Linked DNA regions of Macaca fascicularis. The main gene of each other region encodes a partner of the protein of the gene in region 2 in a complex. Links are inferred from orthologs where the notes say so. Each region holds a gene or a part of one and is shown on either strand. Other genes may lie near its edges.

Region 1 (3,500 bases), on a different chromosome or scaffold from region 2:
TTAGCCTGAAATTATGTTTTTTTTTTCTTTTTAAATGCTCCTATCAGGAATGAAGCGAAGTCAGGTGGACGAAGTGATTTGATACCAACTATCAAATTTCGACACTGTTCTCTGTTAAGAAATCGACGCTGCACTGTAGCATACCTGTAAGCTTCTCAGTTTTTGCTTGGGTGGCAGGATTTTCTGTGTGGCTTCCCAGTTGACCATCTCAAATGGGTAACAAGAAATCTTAAGATTTTTCTCTCTTTATAAGCATTCTAAATTTTTCCTCTGTTTTTTCATTTTTTAAATTTTTTATTATGAAAAAACACTTTTAAAAGTAGGGAGAATAATACTATTATGAACCCAAGTGGAGCTATTGTAGGGTTTTAACAATTTTTATTATTTTGCCATATTTTCTTCATTGTGTTTCGCTTGTTGGTGCCACACTATTTAAGAGCATCATGGTCTTTCACTACTGAATATGGTAGTGATCTTACTATTTTTCTTCTTTGTCTTAGAAATAAGGACCTTTGGCCAGGCACAGTGGCTCATGCCTGTAATCCCAGCACTTTGGGAGGCCGAAGCGGGTGGATCACCTGGGGTCAGGAGTTCGAGACCAGCCTGGCCAACATGGTGAAACCTCGTCTCTACTGAAAGTACAAAAATTAGCCGGGCATGGTGGTAGGTGCCTCATCCCAGCTACTTGGGAGGCTGAGGCAGGAGAATCGCTTGAATCCGGGAGCCAGAGGTTGTAGTGAGAGGAGATCGTGCCATTGCACTCCAGCCTGGGTGACAAGAGCAAAACTCTATCTCAAAAAAAAAAAAAAGAGGGGGTGGGGAAGAAAGAAATAAGGACCTCAGGGACCTTTTTCCCAGGACTACTGTGCTGTTGTCACATGTGGAGGAGGGGACAGTGCCTTCAGGCTGACTCTCAGACTGTGCTCATGTTCCTCTTGTTGTTCCTAAGATGTCTTTTTAGAGCTGGTGTGTTTGCATCAGGGGCCAAATGAAGTCCACACATGATCCCTCTTTTATTCTTATGCCACCCAATACCTTCTTGATGTCCTAGGTATGATCGCTTGCTTCGGATCAGAGCACTCAGATGGGAATATGGTAGCATCTTGCCAAATGCATTACGATTTCACATGTCTGCTGAAGAAGTGAGTTAGCATTGTTCAAGTTTATAAATTTTGAAAATGCTGAAGTTCTGGCATTGTTCTATAATAGTGTTTATTGGTATTCCTCTTTCTGTTTTTAATGTCTGTTTTCCCCCAATTTTTGTCTGGTGTTTAGTATACAATGTGAGGGGAACTATGTGGTGTGGAGTAATTCTAAATGATATGTGGAAAATTCTATTATTACTTAACAAAATGGAGTCCTATGATGTTACTTATTAGTGATCCAATCAGTGGGATTAAAAAACTGGCATTATTATTTGGGGATATTCCATAAAATGTTTATGTGTATATATACTTTCCTAATGAAAATTCATATTTGCCTAGTCATTGAGGCAAAGAGCTAGCCCATTATTTAAGAACATAGGATTGGGCCGGGCACGGTGGCTCAAGCCTGTAATCCCAGCACTTTGGGAGGCCGAGACGGGCAGATCACGAGGTCAGGAGATTGAGACCATCCTGGCTAACACGGTGAAACCCTGTCTCTACTAAAAAATACAAAAAACTAGCCGGGGGAGGTGGCGGGCGCCTGTAGTCCCAGCTACTCGGGAGGCTGAGGCAGGAGAATGGCGTAAACCTGGGAGGCGGAGCTTGCAGTGAGCCGAGATCCGGCCACTGCACTCCGGCCTGGGTGACAGAGCGAGACTCTGTCTCAAAAAAAAAAAAAAAAATGGACATAGGATTGGAGTCACGTGGGCTTAGGTTCAAATCCTGGCTCTCTTCTGTCTAATCTTGAGCAAGTCACTTGACCTGTTTCTGTGCCTAAATTTCCTTGTTACAGGATGAAGATCATATTACCTATCTATTACAGGTCGCAATGACTTCTGACACTAACTACCTGTAGTTATTGTCAACTAAGGAAGCTCACACAAGCTTTGATGTCCAGAGTGTGTATTGGGGCTTTATTACATAGACATGATTGATTAAATCACTGGCCCTGTGATTGAGCTCAATCTTCATCCCTCTTCCCCTCCCTGGAGGTCAGACTGACATCAGGAGGCCCAAAGGCCCAATACTTTAATCACATGGTTGGTCTTTCTGGGGTGGCCAGTCCCAACTCTGAGTCATCTTGTTAGCACAGACTATCTAGGGGTTCACCCCAAGTCACCTGAGTAGCACATACTATCAGGGCACATCATGAATAATAAGACACTCCTACTAGTTGAGGAAGTCCAATAATTTAGAAGCTACCTCCCAGGAATGAGGGAGAGAGGCCCACCAAATTCTTTATTCTACAACAGTGTTATTACAAGGCCTATCAGAGGGTTACTTCAGGTGATCCATGTGAAGCACAGCATAGCATGGCACTCAATAAATGTTTTGTTTTGTTTTGTTTTTTTGAGACGGAGTCTCGCTCTGTCACCCAGGCTGGAGTGCAGTGGCCGGATCTCAGCTCACTGCAAGCTCCGCCTCCCGGGTTTACGCCATTCTCCTGCCTCAGCCTCCCGAGTAGCTGGGACTACAGGCGCCCGCCACCTCGCCCGGCTAGTTTTTTTGTATTTTTTAGTAGAGACGGGGTTTCACTGTGTTAGCCAGGATGGTCTCGATCTCCTGACCTTGTGATCCGCCCGTCTCGGCCTCCCAAAGTGCTGGGATTACAGGCTTGAGCCACCGCGCCCGGCCAATAAATGTTAACAGTTATTACATTACAGTTGCATAGGACAGAGCTTAAGAAAGCAAATATTCAGTGTAGCAAACCACCATGGCACATGTATACCTATGTAACAAACTTGCATGTTCAGCACATGTATCCCAGAACTTAAAGTAAAAAAAAAAGCAAATATTCAATGTGTTTGTCATTAGATTCTGCACATTTTTGAGTGATCTATTTGTTGTCATAACTTCGTTTTCATTCTCTTCATTTTCTGCATAAATAAATGAGTAATCTCTACCTCAGATTTACCAGTAACTACAAAATTGGTAACATGTTAGTACCTCACTTTATGCTGTTTGTGTTCAAATCGACTTATATTAATTGAACTTTGGGGTACTTCCTATGTATTATGGTGAGATGAACAGAACACTATGTTGTTTCTCTAACGACAGTAGCTTTAATGATTTTTCTCATACAATATTTTAGATTAATTTTTTAATGTATTTTTTTGAGATGGAGTCTTGCTCTGTTGCCCAGGCTGGAGTGCAGTGGTGTGACCTCTGCTCCCTGCAACTCCGCCTCCTGGCTTCAAGCAGTTCTCCTGCCTCAGCCTGCCAAGTAGCAGTGATTACAGGTACTTGCCACCATGCCCAGCTAATTTTTGTATTTTAGTAGAGACAGGGTTTCACTATGTTGGCCAGGCTGGTGTCGAACTCCTGACCTCATTATCTGCCCCCCTCGGCCTCGCA
Region 2 (2,907 bases):
CTGTCGCCAGGCTGGAGTGTAGTGGCGTAATCTCAGCTCACTGCAACCTCTCCCTCCCAGGTTCAAGCGATTCCCCTGCCTCAGCCTCCTGAATAGCTGGGATTACAGGTGCACGCCATCACGCCCAGCTAATTTTTTGTGTTTTAGTAGAGAGCGGTTTCACCATGTTGGCCAGGATGGTCTTAATCTCCTGACCTAGTGATCTGCCCGCCTCTGCCTCCCAAAGCGCTGGGATTACAGGTATGAGCCACTGTGCCTGGCCCACAAAAATATTTTTAATAAAATTGTGTTCAGGTTATATGTGTCGGTTGTATATGAAATACAGGTGAATTCCATGTTTAGACTGGAGTCCTATCCCCAAGCTATCCCATTATGTATGTGCAAATACTCCAAAATCTGAAGTCTAAAACACCTGCTCCCAGGCATTCTGGATACTCAGCCTCTATCGCTATTTTTCCACGAGCCTCCAGTGTTCCCTCAGGTTTTTACTCCCTTTTAAATATTCTGTAAACTATTCTCTTTAAATATATCTGTTTTGCTGTGTCATGCGCTCAGAGGAGGGGTCTGGATCATCTATTACTGACAGATGGATTTGTCTTACCCTTACAAAGGCCATTTCCCCCCCCCCCAAAAAAAAAGGAAATAACTTGGGAGGGTCCTCGGGGGCTATATGTTTGGTGAAATCCATCAGTGATATTCAAGCCAAGCAAATACCCACTAATTTGTTTTTTTCCACTTAAAGTTCCTGGAGGGGACCATGTTAAATGGGGAGCCCTGGTGCAGAAAACAACATGGGCTCATATTCACTCCCTTCCCCATCTCCCTCTTCTGCTTCCCCATGAACCTTCCCCCACAGGCGTTACATAGCCATGTGCCGCGAGAAGCAGCCCACAGTGCCAGAGTCTCTGGCTGACTACATCACGGCAGCGTATGTGGAGATGAGGCGAGAGGCTTGGGCTAGTAAGGATGCCACCTACACTTCCGCTCGGACCCTGCTGGCTATCCTGCGCCTTTCCACTGCTCTGGTAAGTGCCCAAACTGCTGGAGGACCATCTGTTTTGACCCTTAAAGTGGCAGCTCCTTACCATGCTCTCATCGCCGAGTCCCTCCCGCTCCAGCCCTGCTGGGGCTAAAGTGCTGACAGTGCAGATAGTGGTCCTCTCCGTGCTACCGCACTGTGGGTACTTGCTGCTCCAGCAGGGCACGCACAGCGTCCGTGGAGGGAAAGACCTTTTCCCCACTTGTTAACCTTCACTGAGCGGGTGGTTGGGATCTGTTTCACTCCATGTCCTAGATCCTGTGCTACAGACCTTCCTTTCTGTCCTCCCGTCTTGGACCTCAGTCCTGGGGGCTCCAAAGTGCTGTTCGTGCAGGTAGTGTGATTAACCGACCTACTGCTGAGCTAGCACTTCCCGAGCCCCCAGGACACGTTCTCTCTGCCAGTTGTCTTGGCTGAGCTCCCCAAGCTCCATCTGTCATGCTGGGGAGCCCAGTGGAGTTCAAAAGGGTCTGGTCTCCCTCACAGGACAGCTGAACTCCGGGACTGGCCAGTGTTGAGAGGCGGAGACTTGGGCAATTGCTGGACGCTGCCCTGGGCATTGCACTTGTCTCGGTCTGACAGTGCCGGCCCAACACTGCGGATGCTGGGGGGGGTGGGGGGCTCCTCTCCTGTTTTGTGAGTAGGCAACCCATGGGCTGCCCAGCCTTAAAGCCAGAACAAGGGTGTTCCCTGACCTTGTTCCACTGCCCTCCTCCCGTTCCCATCTGTCCCCTACCTTCCCCTTAGGCGCGTCTGCGAATGGTGGACGTGGTGGAGAAGGAAGATGTGAATGAAGCCATCAGGCTAATGGAGATGTCAAAGGACTCTCTTCTGGGAGACAAGGGGCAGACAGCTAGGTGAGTGGTTTAGTGAAGGACAAAGCTGAGTCACTTTGGCTTTTGTGTCCATGTGTCTGAGGCTGGCCTCAATTCTAACACTGACCATCATTGTTCTCTGTTGATGTCGAGCATTCCTGTTTGTCCCCTGACCTTACACACCTACTCATTTCCTTCAGGGCTCAGAGACCAGCAGATGTGGTATTTGCCACCATCCGTGAACTGGTCTCAGGGGGCCGAAGCGTCCGGTTCTCTGAGGCAGAGCAGCGCTGCATATCTCGCGGCTTTACACCCGCCCAGTTCCAGGTGGCTCTGGATGAATACGAGGAGCTCAATGTCTGGCAGGTCAATGCTTCCCGGACACGGATCACTTTTGTCTGATTCCAGCGTGCTTGCAAGCCTGGGGTCCTCTTGTTCCCTGCTGGCCCGCCCCTTGGGAAGGGGCAGTGATGCCCTTGAGGGGAAGGAGGAGCCCCTCTTTCTCCTATGCTGCACTTATTCCTTCTGCTAATAAAGTGTTTGTAGATTGCCACCTTCTAGCCTGGGCCTTTCATTAAAACAGGGTATTGTGTGTTTTTTAGATTCCTACTTGTTCCTTTTTTATGCTCCTATTTCATCCACTCAGTAAATTGTCTGAGTAAGCTGCATCTCCCTGCCAGGCCCCAGTATAGATGCTGGGGATGTGGCAAAGACTAAGTGGTCCCTGCTGTTTGGAGATACTTGAGCTGGGGCTCCACTTTTTGAGCCCCCCGACTCCCTTATTTAGTCTTACACTGCCTGTGTGCCAGTCAGGCTCTGGGGATACGGCGCCAGTATGAAATGCAGGGTCTCTTGGTTTTTCCCCTTTTCTAGCAGACAGGTCATTACTTAACCACTTAGTTCCCAACTCCCACTCTAAAGCTCTGGTTAGCGGGTGATGAAAATCGGCACAAGTGATCACATACAGCAATCCTGACCTGTAGACCACTTCCTAGCTGCCTCTCCAAAATATGTAGTAAACGGTCATTGAGAAACTCCCTCCTGGTAATTCAC
Region 3 (2,792 bases), on a different chromosome or scaffold from region 2:
AAATTCAGCACGTGTACATACCACAGAACAATGGTTTATGGATCAAGCCCACACAGGCTCTTAAGGGTAGGATTGGGAAGCTAGGCATCTAACCTTTAGCTTTCTGGAGATACTTACTCTTACCAAATAAGCATAGAACAGCAACTCTATAGAAGGGTATGGTTAGGAGTAAAAGTCTACCTGTTAGGAGCACTTATGTAATCCTTATATTAGCGTACATGTTGTGGGTCCAATTGGTAGCCCATTTTAAAGGTGGAGAAGCAGGCTGAGCAATCTTAAGTGACAATTTAGCCAAAGTCACAGGCTGTAGGAATCAAAGGTTAAACAGGAAGACTTCTCACTAAGGCTAGAAAGCAGACTCCGTGCAACTTTGAGAGTACTTAGAGAGCCCTTGCTTAACCAAAATAGAAAAAATTAGCCGGGCATGGTGGTGCACACCTGTAACCCCAGCTACTCGGAAGGCTGAGACAGGAGAATGACTTGAACTGAGGAAGTGGAGGTTGCAGTGAGCCCAGATCATGCCACTCCCCTCCAGCCTGGGTGACAGAGCAAGACTCCATCTTAAAAAAAAAAAAAAAAAAAAAAAAAAAAAACTCGGTAACCTGAGCATAAATTAAAACTTGGTAAATCAAGGACGAAGGTCCTAATCTCATAAGCTTGTTAGGATTAAATATGGTAACATTAAAGAGCTTAGCATATGCTGTGTCTGGCATATTACAAGCTTACAATAAATACTATATATTGCTTTCTTGTCCCTTGAATGGGTAGTCAACATTTAGTTTAAATAAAGTTGTAAAATTCAGTTGGAAGTTGTTTTTTTTTAATTAATAAAGGCTAGGAGCTGATTCTTTATCTGTTTCCTGAATCACATTTCCGCTCCTCTGCTAACCTTATTTTTTTCTTTTTCTGTTTTTCTTTGTTTTTGAGACAGGGTCTTGCTCTGTCCATCCAGGCTGGAGTGCAGTGGTGCAGTCATGGCTCACTACAGCCTCAAACTCCAGGGCTTAAGTTGATCCTCCTGCCTTGGTTTCCCTAGTAGCTGGGACTACAGGTGTGTGCCAACACACCTAGCCTGGTTTCCTCTAATTTCATTATTCCCCTTCCATTACAGTCTATTTGTTGAAGAAATTAGATGATTTGTTAAGTTTTCCAGAGTTTGGATTTTGCTGATTGCATTCCTGTGTATACGTAAATTCTTCCACCCTGTGTCCTACAGACTGGTAGCTATAGCCCTGGAGCCTTGATGATATTCAGGATGTTTTGTTTCGGCCGGGGGTGAGAGAGCACGAATACTTTATAGGTGGTGGTGTGTGCCTCTAGTAGAAGGCACAAGGGGTCTGGACGTCTTCGCAGTGTTAGCAGCTATAATAGTCATTGTCTAGATCCATTAAGTCATTAGAGTTTGCAGAGCTGAAATTAATACGTTTTATTCATTTATTAGCTGCTTATCAGAAGAATTTCCATAAAGAAAAGCTTTCCCATATTATATAATTTGGTTATCTAAATTATAGGAAAGACGAGCTAGATACTCAATTCTTTTGCTTTACGCATCAGTCTTCAAAATTTTCATAGCTCCCTCCAAAGTGACTAATAAAAGTGTTTGTGGGTTTTTATAAATGCAAGCTAATAGATTGCAACTTTCTTGATGTTTTTCAATGATGAATCTTCTGTTTTCTCTTGTAGGTTACCATAGAGATGAATGAACCAGTTCAACTAACTTTTGCACTGAGGTACCTGAACTTCTTTACAAAAGCCACTCCACTCTCTTCAACGGTGACACTCAGTATGTCTGCAGATGTACCCCTTGGTAAGATAATAAATTTGAACCTTGTTTTGTAGGTAGTATATGTGATACTCCTCAGTAATTAACTATCTTCCGGTCTTTCAGTTGTAGAGTATAAAATTGCTGATATGGGACATTTGAAGTACTACTTGGCTCCCAAGATCGAGGATGAAGAAGGATCTTAGGCATTCTTAAAATTCAAGAAAATAAAACTAAGCTCTTTGAGAACTGCTTCTGAGATGCCAGCATATACTGAAGTCTTTTCTGTCACCAAATTTGTACTTTTAAGTACATATGTAGATATTGTTTTCTGTAAATAACCTATTTTTTTCTCTATTCTCTGCAATTTGTTTAAAGAATAAAGTCCAAAGTCAGATCTGGTCTAGTTAACCTAGAAGTATTTTTGTCTCTTCGAAATACATGTGATTTTTATAATACAAGAGGGTCTTGACTCTAAATGCAGTTTTAGAATTGTTTTTGAATTTAAATAAAGTTACTTGAATTTCAAACATCACAGGGCAGTGCCTTCATTTTGACCAGGACTGTTGGAAGTATCCTACTGAATTCCCAGCTACAGCTACCCTTTCATGTAAATGGTTTTTCAGTTTAGAGCAGCCTGATGTAGATCAAAAGGATTTCAAATACAGTAGGTTACTAGATATTTTAGGGGGATTCGCTTGTCAAACTTGTTATTCCAATTTGAGGACGAGGAACAAGTGAGAGTAGTACAAATCCTGTGTATTTCATTTTACTTGGCAAAAGTTAATACTCTTCAGAAGCTTCGTGTACCCAAAGTCTTGTTGGCTTTATAAGGATGTTAATGGAGTGTTTCTTTTTAGCCTAGGGAGTCCTACAAGAGTCTTTGATGTTTCAGTAGATCTGTAATGGGACCCAAGGAGTATGGTTCTGCAAAATTTCTCTATTATAAATACACTTTTTGCAACTTCACTCACATAAAGGATGAAGATGTCTTAAATTCCATGGATGTTGGATCCAACCAAGAAAGTGA
Region 4 (3,500 bases), about 35 Mb from region 2:
TATGACTATAATCTTGAATTATCTTCAGATCATATTAAAACTAATTGTCCATTGTAATATTAAATAAGCCCCTAAGTAATAAATGGTGAACTGTTAAACCTTTTTTAATCAAAACGTTCAATTGTGATTCTTTGTGGGAGAATAGGTGTGTTTTGACTAGAGAAGAAATTAGGTTCAGGTGTCAGTTTGTAGCAAATTCAGATTGTTAACATTTTGATTGAAACATATGCCTTATGATTCGGTAAAGAGAGGTAGCAAGAGGATTTCCATTTCTTTGTGGGGAAAAGGAGTCTTGGGTGATTCAGAATCAAGATAACTGCTTTACACGTTAGGTGAGATTTGCTTTTGCAATTTCCTTGATTGTCATCTTCAGTCGTAAAGAGAAACATGAAGTACAGATGGATCACAGACCTGAGTCTGTTGTGTTGGTAAAAGGAATCAACACCTTTACATTGCTCAATTTTTTGATTAACTGTAAGAGTTTAGTTGCTACCTCAGGTCCACAGGCAGGACTTCCTCCAACCCTCTTGTCCCCTGTTGCTTTCCGAGGTGCCACAATGCAAATACTTAAGGTAATAAAAATCTCCATAACCTAGCTGTTAATACAAAGTACTTTGTTTGATAGGATAAATTCTTGATTTAAAAAAACAAAAAACCTCGTAGCATTTTTACTTGGTACATATTTTCCCTTTGCTTTCCTCCCATTAAAAAAAAAAATTTTATAAGACAGTTACATCAAAGAAATTATGTGGAAATATGTAAATTATATGAAATCCTTTTTATTTTCTTTTTGAGACGGAGTCTTGCGCTGCTGCTCAGGCTGGATGGAGTGCAGTGGCATGATCTCAACTCAGTACAACCCCTGCCTCCCGGGTTCAAGTGATTCTTGTGCTGTGCCTCAGCCTCTTGAGTGGCTGGGATTACAAGCACACATTACCAACCCTAGCTATTTTTTTTGTTTTGTTTTTTCTTGTTTGTTTGTTTTAAGAGGGTGTCTCACTCTGTCACCTGCTGGAGTGCAGTGGTGCGATCTCAGCTTACTGCAACCTCCGACTCCTAGGTTCAAGCGATTCTCCTGCCTCAGCCTCCTGAGTAGCTGTGATTACAATTGTGCACCACCACGCCTGGCTAATTTTTTTTTTTTTTTTTTTGCATTTTTAGTAGAGACAGGTTTTCGCCATATTGGTCAGGCTGGTCTTGAACTCCTGACCTCATGATCTTCCCTTGGCCTCCCAAAGTACTGGGATTACAGGCATGAGCTGCTGCACCTGGCCGCCCTGCATTCATTCATTCATTCATTCACTCATTCATTTAGAGACAGTCTTGCTGTCACCCAGGCTGGAGGGCAGTGGCTTGATCTTGGCTCACTGCAAACTCTGCCTACCGGGCTCAAGCGATTCTTCTGCCTCAGCTTCCCAAGTAGCTGGGACTATAGGCTCACACCACCATCCATGCCTGGCTAATTTTTTTTGTTTTTTTTGGTTTTTTTTTGTTTTTGTTTTTTTTGTTTTTTTTTGAGATGGAGTCTCGCTCTGTCGCCCAGGCTGGAGTGCAGTGGCCAGATCTCAGCTCACTGCAAGCTCCGCCTCCCGGGTTCCCGCCATTCTCCTGCCTCAGCCTCCCGAGTAGCTGGGACCACAGGCGCCGCCACCTCGCCCGGCTAATTTTTTGTGTTTTTAGTAGAGACGGGGTTTCGCCGTGTTAGCCAGGATGGTCTCGATCTCCTGACCTTGTGATCCGCCCGTCTCGGCCTCCCAAAGTGCTGGGATTACAGGCTTGAGCCACCGCGCCCGGCCATTTTTTTGTATTTTTAATAGAGACAAGGTTTCACCATGTTGGCCAGGCTGGTCTTGAACTCCTGACCTCAAGTGATCTTCCCACCTTGGCCTCCCAAAGTGCTGGGATTATAATCATAATAAATTATATATGTAAATACAAAATACATACAATTTTATTACTTAGTAATAAAATTGAATGGACTTTAAATTTTTGTTTTTCCAATAGTCTGCATTGACAATGTGTTATTAAATCAGACAAAATACCATATGAAAAAGTGGTATTCTCTGGAATATACATCACCTGAAAATCTCATAATATGGAGAGGATGCTGAAAATTTACTAAGTATTTGTACTCACGTAACATTGTTTTGATGTCTTGGGAAATAGTTTTGTTCCATAATTGTTAAAGAGAGGAAACCCCAAATGGAAATATATTGAACATATTTTTGGCTAGACAAAAGGTTGAGAGATGATCATAATTTTCCTTTTCTTTAAATTTTCATAAAGGCACGAAGTGTAAATGTGAAGACACAAGCTCTTTCTGGATACAGAGACCAGTTTAGTTTGGAGATTACAGGTCCTATCATGCCTCATTCTCTGCATTCACTGACCATGCTGCTCAAATCTTCACAGAGTGGGTCTTTCTCTGCAGTACTATATCCACACGAGCCAACTGCTGTATTTAACATCTGCCTGCCAGTGGACAAAGTACTTGATATGGTAAGAAAGACACCTATGAGCAGACTGTTTTAGTTGTTTAGCTGGAGGGAAGTGAGTCATTTATGCTGAGTCACTTTTGTGTTTCAAGTAATTAAACTGTTATTTAATTACGAATTACTAGAGGAAAGAACAGCTTTCATGAATTCAGTCCAAGTACAATTTTCTTTTTTTTTTTTTTTTTTGAGACGATATCTTGCTGTTGCCCAGGTGGAGTGCAGCTACGCGATCTCGGCTCGCTGCAACCTCAGCCTCCTGGGTTCAAACAATTCTGCCTCAGCCTCCCAAGTAGCTGGGATTACAGGCATGTGCCACCATATCCGGCTATATTTTGTATCTTTATTAGAGACGGGGTTTCACCATATTGGCCAGGCTGGTCTTCAACTCCTGACTTTAGGTGATTCACCTGCCTCGGCCTCCCAAAGTGTTGGGATTACAGGCTTGAGCCATGGCGCCCGGGCTCAGTCCAAATACAGTTTTAACAGTGACTGAAGAACTTCGCATTTCAAAAAGGTACAACTTTTATTTTCATTTCCTCTTGGATCCAAAACTCAGTAGTACCTGATTCCTTTATAGTTTAAGGAAACATGATTCACTGTGGGTATTTATTTAACCATATTTGCCTTTAATTTTGAATATACTTAAGGTTTTTAGAGCTAGAATAATTAAGACCTTTAAAATTATCTCATGCATCTCAGTTGGCTAGACTTATAAAAATAACCATTAATGTTTTGGGATTTTGTCACTACAAAAATTCTTAGGATCAACTTCTGTTGATAGGATGAATCACGTGAATGAGACATTTGTCAGTCTCCATAGTAATTATTTGAAACTCTTTTGTGTTTAAAGATTGATGTGCTTTTTACTGACTTGTATACACATTTCCACAGGAGGTTGTTCATAAGGAGCTTACTAACTGTGGTTTGCACCCTAACACTCTGGAGCAACTTAGTCAAATACCATTACTTGGGAAATCATCTTTACGGAATGTGGTGCTGAGAGAC

The links.
Region 1: MCM7 (region 2) and GINS1 share a complex: the UniProt entries of both Homo sapiens proteins name them as parts of the CMG helicase complex. The link is inferred for Macaca fascicularis from reciprocal best matches to the Homo sapiens genes MCM7 and GINS1.
Region 3: MCM7 (region 2) and PCNA share a complex: the UniProt entries of both Homo sapiens proteins name them as parts of the replisome complex. The link is inferred for Macaca fascicularis from reciprocal best matches to the Homo sapiens genes MCM7 and PCNA.
Region 4: MCM7 (region 2) and DONSON share a complex: the UniProt entries of both Homo sapiens proteins name them as parts of the replisome complex. The link is inferred for Macaca fascicularis from reciprocal best matches to the Homo sapiens genes MCM7 and DONSON.

The regions. Positions count from the first base shown.
Region 1 is NC_088384.1:61,985,506-61,989,005, reverse strand, and holds part of GINS1 (DNA replication complex GINS protein PSF1), read left to right. Parts: intron 1-47; coding exon 48-146; intron 147-1,051; coding exon 1,052-1,142; intron 1,143-3,500. UniProt on the Homo sapiens protein: Required for correct functioning of the GINS complex, a complex that plays an essential role in the initiation of DNA replication, and progression of DNA replication forks.
Region 2 is NC_088377.1:48,746,570-48,749,476, reverse strand, and holds the end of MCM7 (DNA replication licensing factor MCM7), read left to right. Parts: intron 1-856; coding exon 857-1,025; intron 1,026-1,786; coding exon 1,787-1,896; intron 1,897-2,054; coding exon 2,055-2,256; 3' UTR 2,257-2,407; downstream 2,408-2,907. UniProt on the Homo sapiens protein: Acts as a component of the MCM2-7 complex (MCM complex) which is the replicative helicase essential for 'once per cell cycle' DNA replication initiation and elongation in eukaryotic cells.
Region 3 is NC_088384.1:82,165,114-82,167,905, forward strand, and holds the end of PCNA (proliferating cell nuclear antigen), read left to right. Parts: intron 1-1,683; coding exon 1,684-1,807; intron 1,808-1,888; coding exon 1,889-1,968; 3' UTR 1,969-2,292; downstream 2,293-2,792. UniProt on the Homo sapiens protein: Auxiliary protein of DNA polymerase delta and epsilon, is involved in the control of eukaryotic DNA replication by increasing the polymerase's processibility during elongation of the leading strand.
Region 4 is NC_088377.1:13,341,720-13,345,219, forward strand, and holds part of DONSON (protein downstream neighbor of Son), read left to right. Parts: intron 1-373; coding exon 374-572; intron 573-2,286; coding exon 2,287-2,499; intron 2,500-3,386; coding exon 3,387-3,500. UniProt on the Homo sapiens protein: Replisome component that maintains genome stability by protecting stalled or damaged replication forks.